2 linked regions of the Rattus norvegicus genome follow. The main gene of each other region encodes a partner of the protein of the gene in region 2 in a complex. Links are inferred from orthologs where the notes say so. Each region holds a gene or a part of one and is shown on either strand. Other genes may lie near its edges.

Region 1 (5,636 bases), on a different chromosome or scaffold from region 2:
CTGACCTCTTGTCCTGACCTGACCCGCCAACCCTTTCACGGCTCCACTTCTCAATCCGGAGATCCGGGGGGGTTGCGGTCCCAGGCAACCCCCAAACTGGCGAGTTTCTGGGGCAGAGGGTCGTCTGGAACCCGCCCGGGAGTGGGAAAGCCAGCTGAAGGCAGCAGCTCCCTGAGACTACCCCCTCCTGGTGACAGGGGGCGCGGCACCTTGGCTTTAGGTAACTCTTAAGAGGCGGACCCCGGAATCTCGGTTCCGACTCATACTCTCACTCGCCTCCCCATCCTTCTCCCTAAGACCTCGCTCCCTGCGCCCCAGTCCCCGCCCTTTCCTCCACTTCCACTCCCTCGGCGCCCGAGTCTCCAGTCCCCCCCCCACCTCCGCGGCCCTCACCCTCCCTCTCCGCCACCTAACTGCTTACCCGCTAGCTCTAGATTTCGTGTCCCGGGGGTCTCCGGGTCTCCCCTGATCCTCCGGAACCCTCGCGCGCTCCCGACGATTTCCCGGTGCCCACCCCGGGGCGCGCCCCCGCCGCTCCCAACTTCTCCCAACTCAACTTTCCCCCGCGCCGGGCAGGCCAGCCTCCAGCGTGCGCGCCCCCCGCAGCGCGCCGTGCGCGCCCCCGGCGCGGCTAGCTGAGAGGCGGAAAGCGGACGCTGAGACTCCGCGACGGGGACGCGCTCCCAGGCACAGCCCGACACCGCTGGCGCGGCACCCGGGCTGTGCCTCCCCCCCACCCGCGGCGAGACTCCGGGGACGCCTTCTCTTGGCTTTAGTGAGCCACCTCTGGGAGGAAAGAAGCCAGCTTCACGTTGGGGATCGAGGGCATGGAGTAGGGCCGGGAAATTGAGACGCAGGGAGCTGAATTACAAATTTTTTGACGTTAAGGTTCTGCAGGGCCCTTTCCCAAATAACACCACTGGCTCCAAGAAAGCCCCGTTGTCAGCCTGAGAGAACGGGGTGGCCGGCGAATGTGAGGAGTAAAGACGCTGGAGTTGGGTGGCCGTGACCCTGAACAGATGGAAAACAAGACAACTTGTTGAAGATTCCTCACTTTCCCTAGAACTACCTCCGGGCCGAATGGAATCCTATTCACAGCCGACACCTTTATTTTAAAGCCCTTTGCGTGTCATCTTGTTTTCTCAACTAAATTATCAATTATTTCAGATAAAGAATTCACTTTATGCGTCTTCAGTCTGCCACGTGGGCAAATCACAATATTGTTTATGCAATAGCACTCAGATTTAAGTGAGTTAATTAACAAAAGGTTAGCGCCTACTCTGGTTCCGGCGCTGAGGAATGCTGTTTGGGGCCATTTTCGCCCGGTTCACAGCCCTCAAGAATGCAATCATGAGACAATTAGAGAGTAGTGCAAGAAAAATCTATAATCAACTCCTTTATAGGGTGAGGTAAAGGCTGCTTGCTGCAAGTGTAGCATCTGTCTGTGGTCTTGTCTGTTGAGGGAAGTAACTGACCTGCCAGTCTTCGTGGGCCACACCCTGGCTGACTCCAGTGGGCCTGCTCTGAATACTGGGATCTGGGGGACACCCAGGCTCCAGTCAGCTGGCCTCGGCATGTCAAAGTGGAGCCGCTGGAGTCCGGTGGGTTTCGAGACGATAAAATGGGCCCAGCAGAAAGAGGGGACTTTGGCGTGTGTCCTTCCACTCAAATCCAGACTCTAACGGGGCACACCTGTCTCGCTGCCCAGCCCTGTGGTCAGCTGGTCCCTGTGAGGTCATCAGCAGTAAGACATCGCTCAGAATCATTCCCCAATCAGTCCTGGGGTCACCAGGTGGCCTAGGGAGAGGTGAAAACTAGTGCTGAAGCTGTGTCAGGAGGTCGCTGGTGACTCAAAACACCCAACCAGGTCAGAGCCGGGCCAACAGCGCTCGGGATCTAGGCCGTCAAACGCAAACTTCAAGCAGAGAGCACCCCACCCCCACCCTCACTGTATTCTGGAACGCGTAGTCCGGGAGCGGCCCTTTTCTGGAAGGCTGTGAGCACAGAAAAGGAATAATAACAAGAGCGGGGCACACTGGGAGCCTCCGCGCCTTGGCGGAGACGCCCGAAAAGCGGACACGCGATGCTTCCTGGGAGTTGAAGTTTAAGGTTTGCCTCCGCGATGGAAACGAGTCCCTGGAGTTGAGCGCTGCAGAGAGCCCGAGCGCAGCCTGTTGGGCCTTGTAGTCCGCGTGCCTTCCGCCACAGGCAATCTTGGGAAACATGGCCGCCCCGGGACTACAAGTCCCAGATGCCAGTGCGTGGTGAGCGAGTGGGCGGGGCTGGAGCTTTGGGTACCACCTCCTCTGCAACGCCGGGGCCGGGAGTCTTAGAACCGAGGGCCCGCAGGGGTCCCCGTGGCCGCTGCGATGCAGAAATACGAGAAACTGGAGAAGATTGGGGAAGGTAATGGAACCACGAGATGTTCCTGCAAGGTCTTTTTCTGAAGACCCTACTTGCAGTCCCAGCTCCCTTACCGTCAGCTATGCCTGCAGGCTCCGACCTCAGCACTGGCCAAAAGCCCTGGCCGCTGAGCCCAACACCCAGTGCAGAAACCAACCCTTCACCCTGTGTTAGCATCTGCGGCAAACTCTTGCTCTTAGCCTTAGCAGTCTCTGTGGACCAGCCTTCCTAACCGCGGCACTTCCTGCATTTCTCATCCCTAGCCTCAGCATCACTTGCAAACCTCACCTGGAATCCCTGCTTCAATTCATTGCAGAACCTCCAACCTTAACATTCTTGCAGGCCATCATTCCTCTCCTAGGTGACTCCTTGCTACTTCCCGACCCTACCCCCCACCCTGGAGCTTATGACAGATTCTCCCTGCAGCTGAAGCCTTGCGCTCTTTTAGGCACCTTCCCCTTGACATCCTCGCTCATAAAACTACTCTGGCCTTTGCCCTGGAAACCTACCCTTACACACTAAGATATTGAGAAGGATCCGCTTCCTCATCCCCGACCTTCCCCTAGGCACCTACGGAACTGTGTTCAAGGCCAAAAACCGGGAAACCCATGAGATTGTGGCTCTGAAGCGAGTCAGGCTGGACGATGACGATGAGGTAGGCCTAGGGCATGGGAGGGGTCTAAAGCCTATCTTGGGCTGTGTGTGACTACTACCCCCTTGCATGTTGTAGGGTGTGCCAAGTTCAGCCCTCCGGGAGATCTGTCTACTCAAAGAACTGAAGCACAAAAACATTGTCAGGTAAGGTCTGTTGGAGAAGGTTGAACCTCCTCATTAGACTGGGCTGGTATTGGGATGTTAGAGGCCAACTTGGGGATCTGGTTAAGCCTTTCATTTTCCGTAGGCTTCATGATGTCCTGCATAGTGACAAGAAGCTCACATTGGTGTTTGAGTTCTGTGATCAGGTGAAAGAGGGGCTTGGGGGGATATTAATCCTGGGAGGGTGTAGGAGTCCAAACTAAGGTTGAGCTCTGCCCTTTTCTCCTCATTACCACCTCTATTTAGGACCTGAAGAAATATTTTGACAGCTGCAATGGTGACCTGGACCCTGAGATTGTGAAGGTGAGGGGAAGGATGTCAAGGGATTCGTGGTGCCTGGGTGTGTTTATATAAAGTTATCAGCACTCTTGAGTGTCAGGTTGGGGGCTAGGGTCCCAGACGAACCCTGTTCCTGCTCACTAAGGACTACCTGTCTTGGTGAACGTTTTTAATGTGGTCACCTTTGACTTGCACAGACAGTATCTGATTTCAGTGATGTCATTTGCACTCCAGAGATGAGACATAAGAGAAACTATCTCCTGGATTCAACAAATACCAGGCCTGCACAGTGCCCATACTTCTAACTTTAGCACTCAGAAGGCTGAGGCAGGGCGATCTCAAGTTTCAGACCTGCCTGAGAGGTTTGATGTCTCAAACATCAAAGCAAAATCAAGACAAGGGGGATTGGACAGAAGGTTCAGCAGTTAACGCATATTACTCTTGCAGAAGATGTGAGTTCAACTTCCAGCATCCACCTGAGATAGCTCACAAACACCTGTAACTGCAGACCCCGGGGATCCAGTACCCACTCTTGGCCTCCAAGGGCACCTGCACTCACATACATACCCTTCTCCCATCGTGCATGCATACATATATGCAAACATAATTTAAAAATAAAGTAAATTGAGAGAGAGAGAGAGAGAGAGAGAGAGAGAGAGACCAACAAAATAAATATTTGCTGAAGGTTTTGCTGTGGACCAGTCACTATTCTAGGCCCAAGACTAAAAAGTACCTTGGCCCAAGTTCCAGGGGAAGTGGGCCCTGAGTAATACTATAGCTTTGTATTTGTGTTGATGCTTATGGTGTGTGTGCCCACTTGCAGCCGTGTAGGGGAGACCAGCATGGACTGGGAGCACAGGAAGGTTCACCAGAAAGCTGTGAGAAGCAAGGACAACTTGGTTACTGTTGTACTGCCCCCCGACCCCCAGTACCTGCAAATCAGATTCTCGAAAGTAACTGATGAGAGGCTGAAAAGGTAGCTCAGTTGTTAAGAGCCTTGTCCAGACCCCGGGCACTTGGGACAGTGGCAGGTACATCTCTGAGGTCAAGGCCAGTCTGATCTACAGATGGAGTTTCAGGACAGCCAGGGCTATATAGAGAAAACCTGTCTCAAAAAACCAAAACAGTAACATAGAACACTTGATGTTCTTGCAGAGGACTCTGTTCCCAGAATTCACATTGGGTGGCTGACAACCGCCTGTAACTCCAGTTCCAGGGGACCCTACCCTTTCTTTACGCTTATGTGCATGCGTGGGCGTGCATGCACACTCGTGTGCACACACACAATGAACTTCTCCGCTTGCTGCCAGTCACATGGGCTGTAGGGCAAAGTGGGTCTGACTCCGTTTCCCTTACCTCCCTCCAGTCACTCCTCTTCCAGCTGCTGAAAGGCCTGGGATTCTGTCACAGCCGTAACGTGCTGCACAGGGACCTGAAGCCCCAGAATCTGCTCATTAACAGGGTATTGCTCTGGGAACAGGGCGCGAGAAATCAGAAGCCGGAGCCAGGGGTGGGGAAGCACTGAGGGAACAGGGTGGGGAGAAGGAAACTGGAGCCTACCCCGAACCATTTAAAAGCCCTTCCCCATGTTCCCTTTGTGTTATCTCCCCTCAGAATGGGGAACTGAAATTGGCTGATTTTGGCCTGGCCCGAGCCTTTGGTATCCCAGTCCGCTGCTACTCTGCTGAGGTGAGCCTGGGAAGTGGTGTGTGAGGTTGAGGGAGGGAGTCCCCCAGTGGCTTCTCTACACCACATCATTTCCTCTGCTCTCTGAGCCTCCTTCTGGACCTCCCTCCAGCTCTCTAAGTGGGAGGGGGGATCCCTGTGGGTGGGGTCTTCTCCAGGTGGTCACGCTGTGGTACCGCCCACCGGATGTCCTCTTTGGGGCCAAGCTGTACTCCACGTCCATCGACATGTGGTCAGCCGGCTGCATCTTTGCAGGTGACACATTGGGGTTCTGCGGAGGTACTCTCTTTCCCAGTTGGGGTAACAAAAAGGGTCTAGAGGATCTCATGAAGGAAGGGAGAGGGAGCTCTTGGGGCTGGGACTGGAAGGCATAGGGGCACCTCAGAATGATGGGTCCTACATGTACTGTTCTATCCCTGTTTTTTCCTGCAGAGCTGGCCAATGCAGGGCGA
Region 2 (4,379 bases):
TAGGAACCCGGATGAGGGACTGGGGAAAGGCCCTCTAGTCCAGTCAGGTCCTCTTCCCCACCTCTGAAAGGCTCTATTCCAGGCCTCTGCAATTGAGACCTCAATTTCACAGCTTTCTCTTTGTGTGATTTTCCAGTAGTGCTTGTGCAAGAAGTTGGCAGCCACCTAGAACCTAATCCTATGCAAGATAACCTCTGCCTTCCCCACTGTGGCCCCAGCCCCAGCACCCCCTAGGGAAGCAGGAAAGGAAGAGGAGGCCCTCGGTAGCATCTTCACATTGCTCTTTGTTCCCCAAAGCTGGAGGGAGGGCCATGGAGGAAGACTGGCTCCCTTTTCTTGGACCGCTTCCAAACCCCAAGCTACCAGTCTGGGAAAATTAGAACGAAAAACCATTAAAGTCCAGAGTGTTATGTAGCCGACAGGGATGGGTGGGCACCACACCCAGCAGCTGGAAGTGATCAGCTGGACAGTCACCAAGCTTCCAAACTGATCGGCAGTCACACTCGAACCCTGTAATTGTCCCCAAATGCAGCTGTCTCAGTAGGTTGCACAGAGCAAAGCCTCCTCACCAGGAGAAACTGAACTGCCTGGAAACGGCTTAAAATTAACTAGGGACGGGGTGGGAGACAGCAATGCCATTTCACCCCATCTCGACTTTCCCCAGGGATGTAGGACAAGTATCATGTGCACCAGCAAGAGGCCTTAGCATGTAAGTGGGCACCAACTTGATCTCAGGCATAGACACCCACCTGCCCAGGAGGCAGCATTGCTAGTGGGTCCCTGGCGCTGTCCTGGCTTTTTACACAGGGTGACTGAAGTGTGTCGTTCAAATGAAAAGCTCACTCAGGAGAGGAGCTGCCCCTGGCTTCACCTCATCCCTTAGCTGGGACCCAAAGTGGGAGAGGAATCTAATGAGCAAACCAGCTTATTAACCAGTGCTAAGGTGGAGCACAGACAAAAGGACGGGGAGGGAGCTCCATCCTGCCAGGAAAGGAAAGAAAGCCCTTCTCTCTGAACAGCAAGCAGCAGACCAGGGCCGTGCGCGGCCAACAGTCACCAACAATCTTTGCACCAGACCCACTCCCAGGCGCCTTCACTGATGCCCCGGGGCAGTGGAGATCTTGCCACACCAGAACGGCTGGCTGCAGGAGCCTTTGAGAGAATGAAACAATACCCAGAAAAGGGCTGGTTCCTCCTGGGCCACCAGCCTCGGGGCTCAGCTCAGATCATGGGACAGCGGGAAGCCTCATCTACCCTGGATCCATCGTGGGTACAGGTGACGTAGACGAGTCAGTCCCTTGAGCCCCGGAAAGAGAGTGGTCAGCAGCCGAGGTGGCTCTGAATGCATCTTCTGGGTTCCCACAAGGTTCATCAGTTCGAAAGTCCCCAGAGTTCTTGAAAGGGCTAAAAAAAAAACCCAAGGAAAGAACGTGGGAAGAGGCCCTTGGTGGCTCTGCTAGACACATACTGTACACAAAACTTGATTCTTTAATAATAAATTTTAAAAACGAATGGAATCCTTGAGCCAGGATACCAGCTACAGGGGCTCACCGATCGAGCCCCAGGAGGAGTCGCTTCTTGTCCTCCTGACCACTCTCATTCTTCAAGTCAGAGAACACTTGTGTGAAATAGTGTGGGTCAGCATTGATCTGCAGCATCTTGGAGCTCATGAGGTTGATAACTGAGAGGCAACGGTCCCAAAAGGCTTCCTTGCAGCTCTCCACCAGGAAGGGCTTGAGCGGGTAGGAGATTTCATTGCCCATGTAGGAATAGGAGAGGTACAGACAGGTCAGCAGGACAGCCTGGAGCTCGTGGTCCGAGCCCACCTCAGAGGAGATAACATCCCTGCAGAGCATGTAGAGGAAGACCACATTGGCCGGTGTGATGAAACCCTGGTCCTGCCATCCCTGCAGAAGCAGGGAGCGGTCCACGCTGCGCAGCCAGAGCACGGGGTCCGTTGGGGACAAGTGCTTCAGGCGGTAGCACCGGCGGCAGAGAAACTCACCCAGGCAGCGCAGCAGCTCACTAGTGGACGCCTGGACGATGACCCGTTTGGGTGTTCCTGCGGAGGTGATGGCAGGGTGCGGGGCCTTCTTGACAGAAGAGGAGACCCCAGTCTGGGAGCCAGAAAGCTGGCTGGCTGGGGGTGCGGGCGGCTGGGCCGGCGGGGGCTGGGCGAACGTGGACAGGTTGGCACACGACAGCGACTTCTTCAGGTTCTCATTGTTGAGGTGCGCGATGTTGCTCTGGTAGCTGCTGTTGGGCTGCGCCTTCTTGGAGTTCTTCTTCTTCGCTGACACCGCCACGATCCTCTTCCAAGGCAGTACCGAGATGATGGAGTGCCGCTTCAGGTTCTTGTCCTTGGCGTTCTTGCTGTTCTGCACGGCCGTGTAGTGGCCCACGGTGGCCGCGCCATCCTCAAACAGTGTGGCCTTTCGATAGCTGGGGGACAGGGACAGCACCGTGCCCATGGTGCCACTGCGCGCCCGGCAGGGGCCGGCACCCCTGCGCGCCCAGCCTGCCGGCCGGAGGGAGAAAAAGGCTTACCAAGCCTGTAGCGGCCGCAGAGAGAAAGGAGGCGCTCCCGGGACACGACGCGTGTAGCCCTGCGGATCTGCGTGGAAAACAAGATGGTTCTCAGCCCCGGGCGGGGCTCCGCGCCGCGCCCCTCCGCCCGCACTTCCGAGGCCCGAGCCCCCCGGGCTGCGGCCCCGTGGAGCCCCAGCCTATGCTTCCACTGCGGCACCAGCCAAGCGCCGCAGCGGCCGCCGCCGCAGGCGTCCAACCAGGCCGCGCACACGGCCCCGGTCCGCGGAGGCTTACCCGCAGGCAGGCTCCCCGCGGCAGGCGCAGCCGCTGCGTCCCAGACCCTCCGCAATGCGCGCCGCGGCCCCGGGGCTCGGCGCGGCTCGGCGCGGCTCGGCGCGGCGGCGGCGGCGGCTCTCAGCTTCTGTCCAAGGTTCTGCAGGCGCCGCGGCCCCGCCCCCGCCCGGCCCCCGCCTGCGTCTCCGCCGCGCACCCGCCGGCCCCGCCCCGCCCCGCCCCGGCGAGCGCCCCCCAAGCTGCCTCTCCAGATTGCGCGCGCGGTCCACAAGCCCGCTCAGTCTCGCCGCACTCGCATCTTCAGCGCGAGCGGCGCACAATGGCGCCTCTAGTGGGCGCGCCCCATACGGGTCGCAGCGCGGGCGGCGGGAACGCGCGAAGCCCGGTCTCCACCTGGAAGCCGCCGGCGCCGCGCGGCGCAGCCCGGCCTCCTGAGCCCCGGAGCCGCGCAGCGGAGCTCGCTGGGCGTGCGGGCGAACGGGCGAGCGGGCGGGGCGGAGGGCGGCCCCGCCCAGACACGTGCTGCCTTTGTTCCCGCCGCGGCCCCCTCAGCGGAGGCTGCGGGCGTTGTGGAGCTGGCCGGGGCTCCCACAAGGGAAAGCCGCATCCCGCATCGGCGTAAAGGCCCGGCACCCATCATGACTCTAGAAAGCCAGGCCAGAAGGGCGAGGGCGGCCTAGAGATCCCGTCAGGACAGCTGTCAAAAATCAAAGCTGCTGCGCCTTCAGGCCAGTCTCTCATTTGCCCGTTTTAAAATTTGATGACAGTAAAATTGCAAAATTAAATACGTAAATAAATAAATCTGGTTCTGACTAGCGACGCATAGTTCACAAGCAGCCTCCATATCCTTCACAAAGGCCACTGCTTATTTACAAGTCACTCATTTCGGACTGGTTCTGGAGACCCATACTGTCAAACAAGCCAACCTGTATCTTAACTCAGACTCCCAACTCCGAACCTAAGAGAATTCCTGACAACACCTGCAACGGTTGAGCAAACTACCCAAAACAAGAATCTTGTTGAGGTCATTAGGTGAAGTACTTCCAAGTTAGAAAGTGCCAGTTTCTTTTTGTACCCAAAGACTTCTCAGCCAACACGAGCAGAAAGATTTAGGGATGGGGTGATCAGAATGGAAAATGCCTTGCGCTGTACCGGGGCGGGGGGGGGAGGGGCGGGGGGGAGGGGGGACTAGCTTCGCTGTGGCCCCTCCCTAACAATGTTTCTCATAGAACAAATGGTTGCTGGCTATTACTAGAACACAGCACCTGACACTGGGTAACCTATAAATAAAATAATGAAGTGTTAGCTCACAGTTCTGGAGTATGGTCCAGATCCAGTAGTAGAGCAGGCTATGGGGAGATCGAGGCTTCAACTCACACCGGGAAGGGGGAGAATAATTACTTGGGGGAATGAGGGCAGGTGCCACACAGTCTTTCTAACAACTGCTAGCAGGAGCTTTCGTTAACCCCTTCCTGCTCGAAATTAGTCCATGACTTAGAACCTCTCCTTGAAACACAGGCTGCCAGCACCTTGCCATTTTCCTGCCTCAGTGTTCA

Evidence for each region. Proteins that work in one complex are often made in the same cells at the same time.
Region 1: the proteins of Cdk5r1 (region 2) and Cdk5 are in contact, whole or in part, in a crystal structure (PDB 3O0G), measured with the Homo sapiens proteins. The link is inferred for Rattus norvegicus from reciprocal best matches to the Homo sapiens genes CDK5R1 and CDK5. Residues at the interface, in NP_003876.1 of Homo sapiens: Trp190, Gln193, Thr197, Pro198, Ala199, Phe203, Tyr231, Leu232, Ser235, Tyr236, Met237, Gly238, Asn239, Glu240, Ile241, Ser242, Tyr243, Pro244, Leu245, Lys254, Glu255, Trp258, Asp259, Cys261, Leu262, Ile265, Asn266, Ser269, Ser270, Met272; in NP_004926.1 of Homo sapiens: Leu37, Asp38, Glu42, Gly43, Pro45, Ser46, Ser47, Leu49, Arg50, Ile52, Cys53, Leu54, Lys56, Glu57, Val69, His71, Leu76, Arg120, Asn121, Val122, Leu147, Arg149, Ala150, Phe151, Gly152, Ile153, Pro154, Arg156, Cys157, Tyr158.

Annotation. Positions count from the first base shown.
Region 1 is NC_086022.1:11,644,849-11,650,484, forward strand, and holds the start of Cdk5 (cyclin-dependent kinase 5), read left to right. Parts: upstream 1-2,275; 5' UTR 2,276-2,369; coding exon 2,370-2,406; intron 2,407-2,969; coding exon 2,970-3,058; intron 3,059-3,133; coding exon 3,134-3,201; intron 3,202-3,304; coding exon 3,305-3,365; intron 3,366-3,465; coding exon 3,466-3,522; intron 3,523-4,864; coding exon 4,865-4,960; intron 4,961-5,112; coding exon 5,113-5,187; intron 5,188-5,342; coding exon 5,343-5,439; intron 5,440-5,616; coding exon 5,617-5,636. UniProt on the Homo sapiens protein: Proline-directed serine/threonine-protein kinase essential for neuronal cell cycle arrest and differentiation and may be involved in apoptotic cell death in neuronal diseases by triggering abortive cell cycle re-entry. Interacts with D1 and D3-type G1 cyclins.
Region 2 is NC_086028.1:65,980,290-65,984,668, reverse strand, and holds Cdk5r1 (cyclin-dependent kinase 5 activator 1), read right to left. Parts: upstream 2,631-4,379; 5' UTR 2,472-2,630; coding exon 1,548-2,471; 3' UTR 1,453-1,547; downstream 1-1,452. Other genes in the region: uncharacterized protein Cdk5r1l, read left to right, coding at 2,631-3,155. UniProt on the Homo sapiens protein: p35 is a neuron specific activator of CDK5. The complex p35/CDK5 is required for neurite outgrowth and cortical lamination. Involved in dendritic spine morphogenesis by mediating the EFNA1-EPHA4 signaling. Activator of TPKII.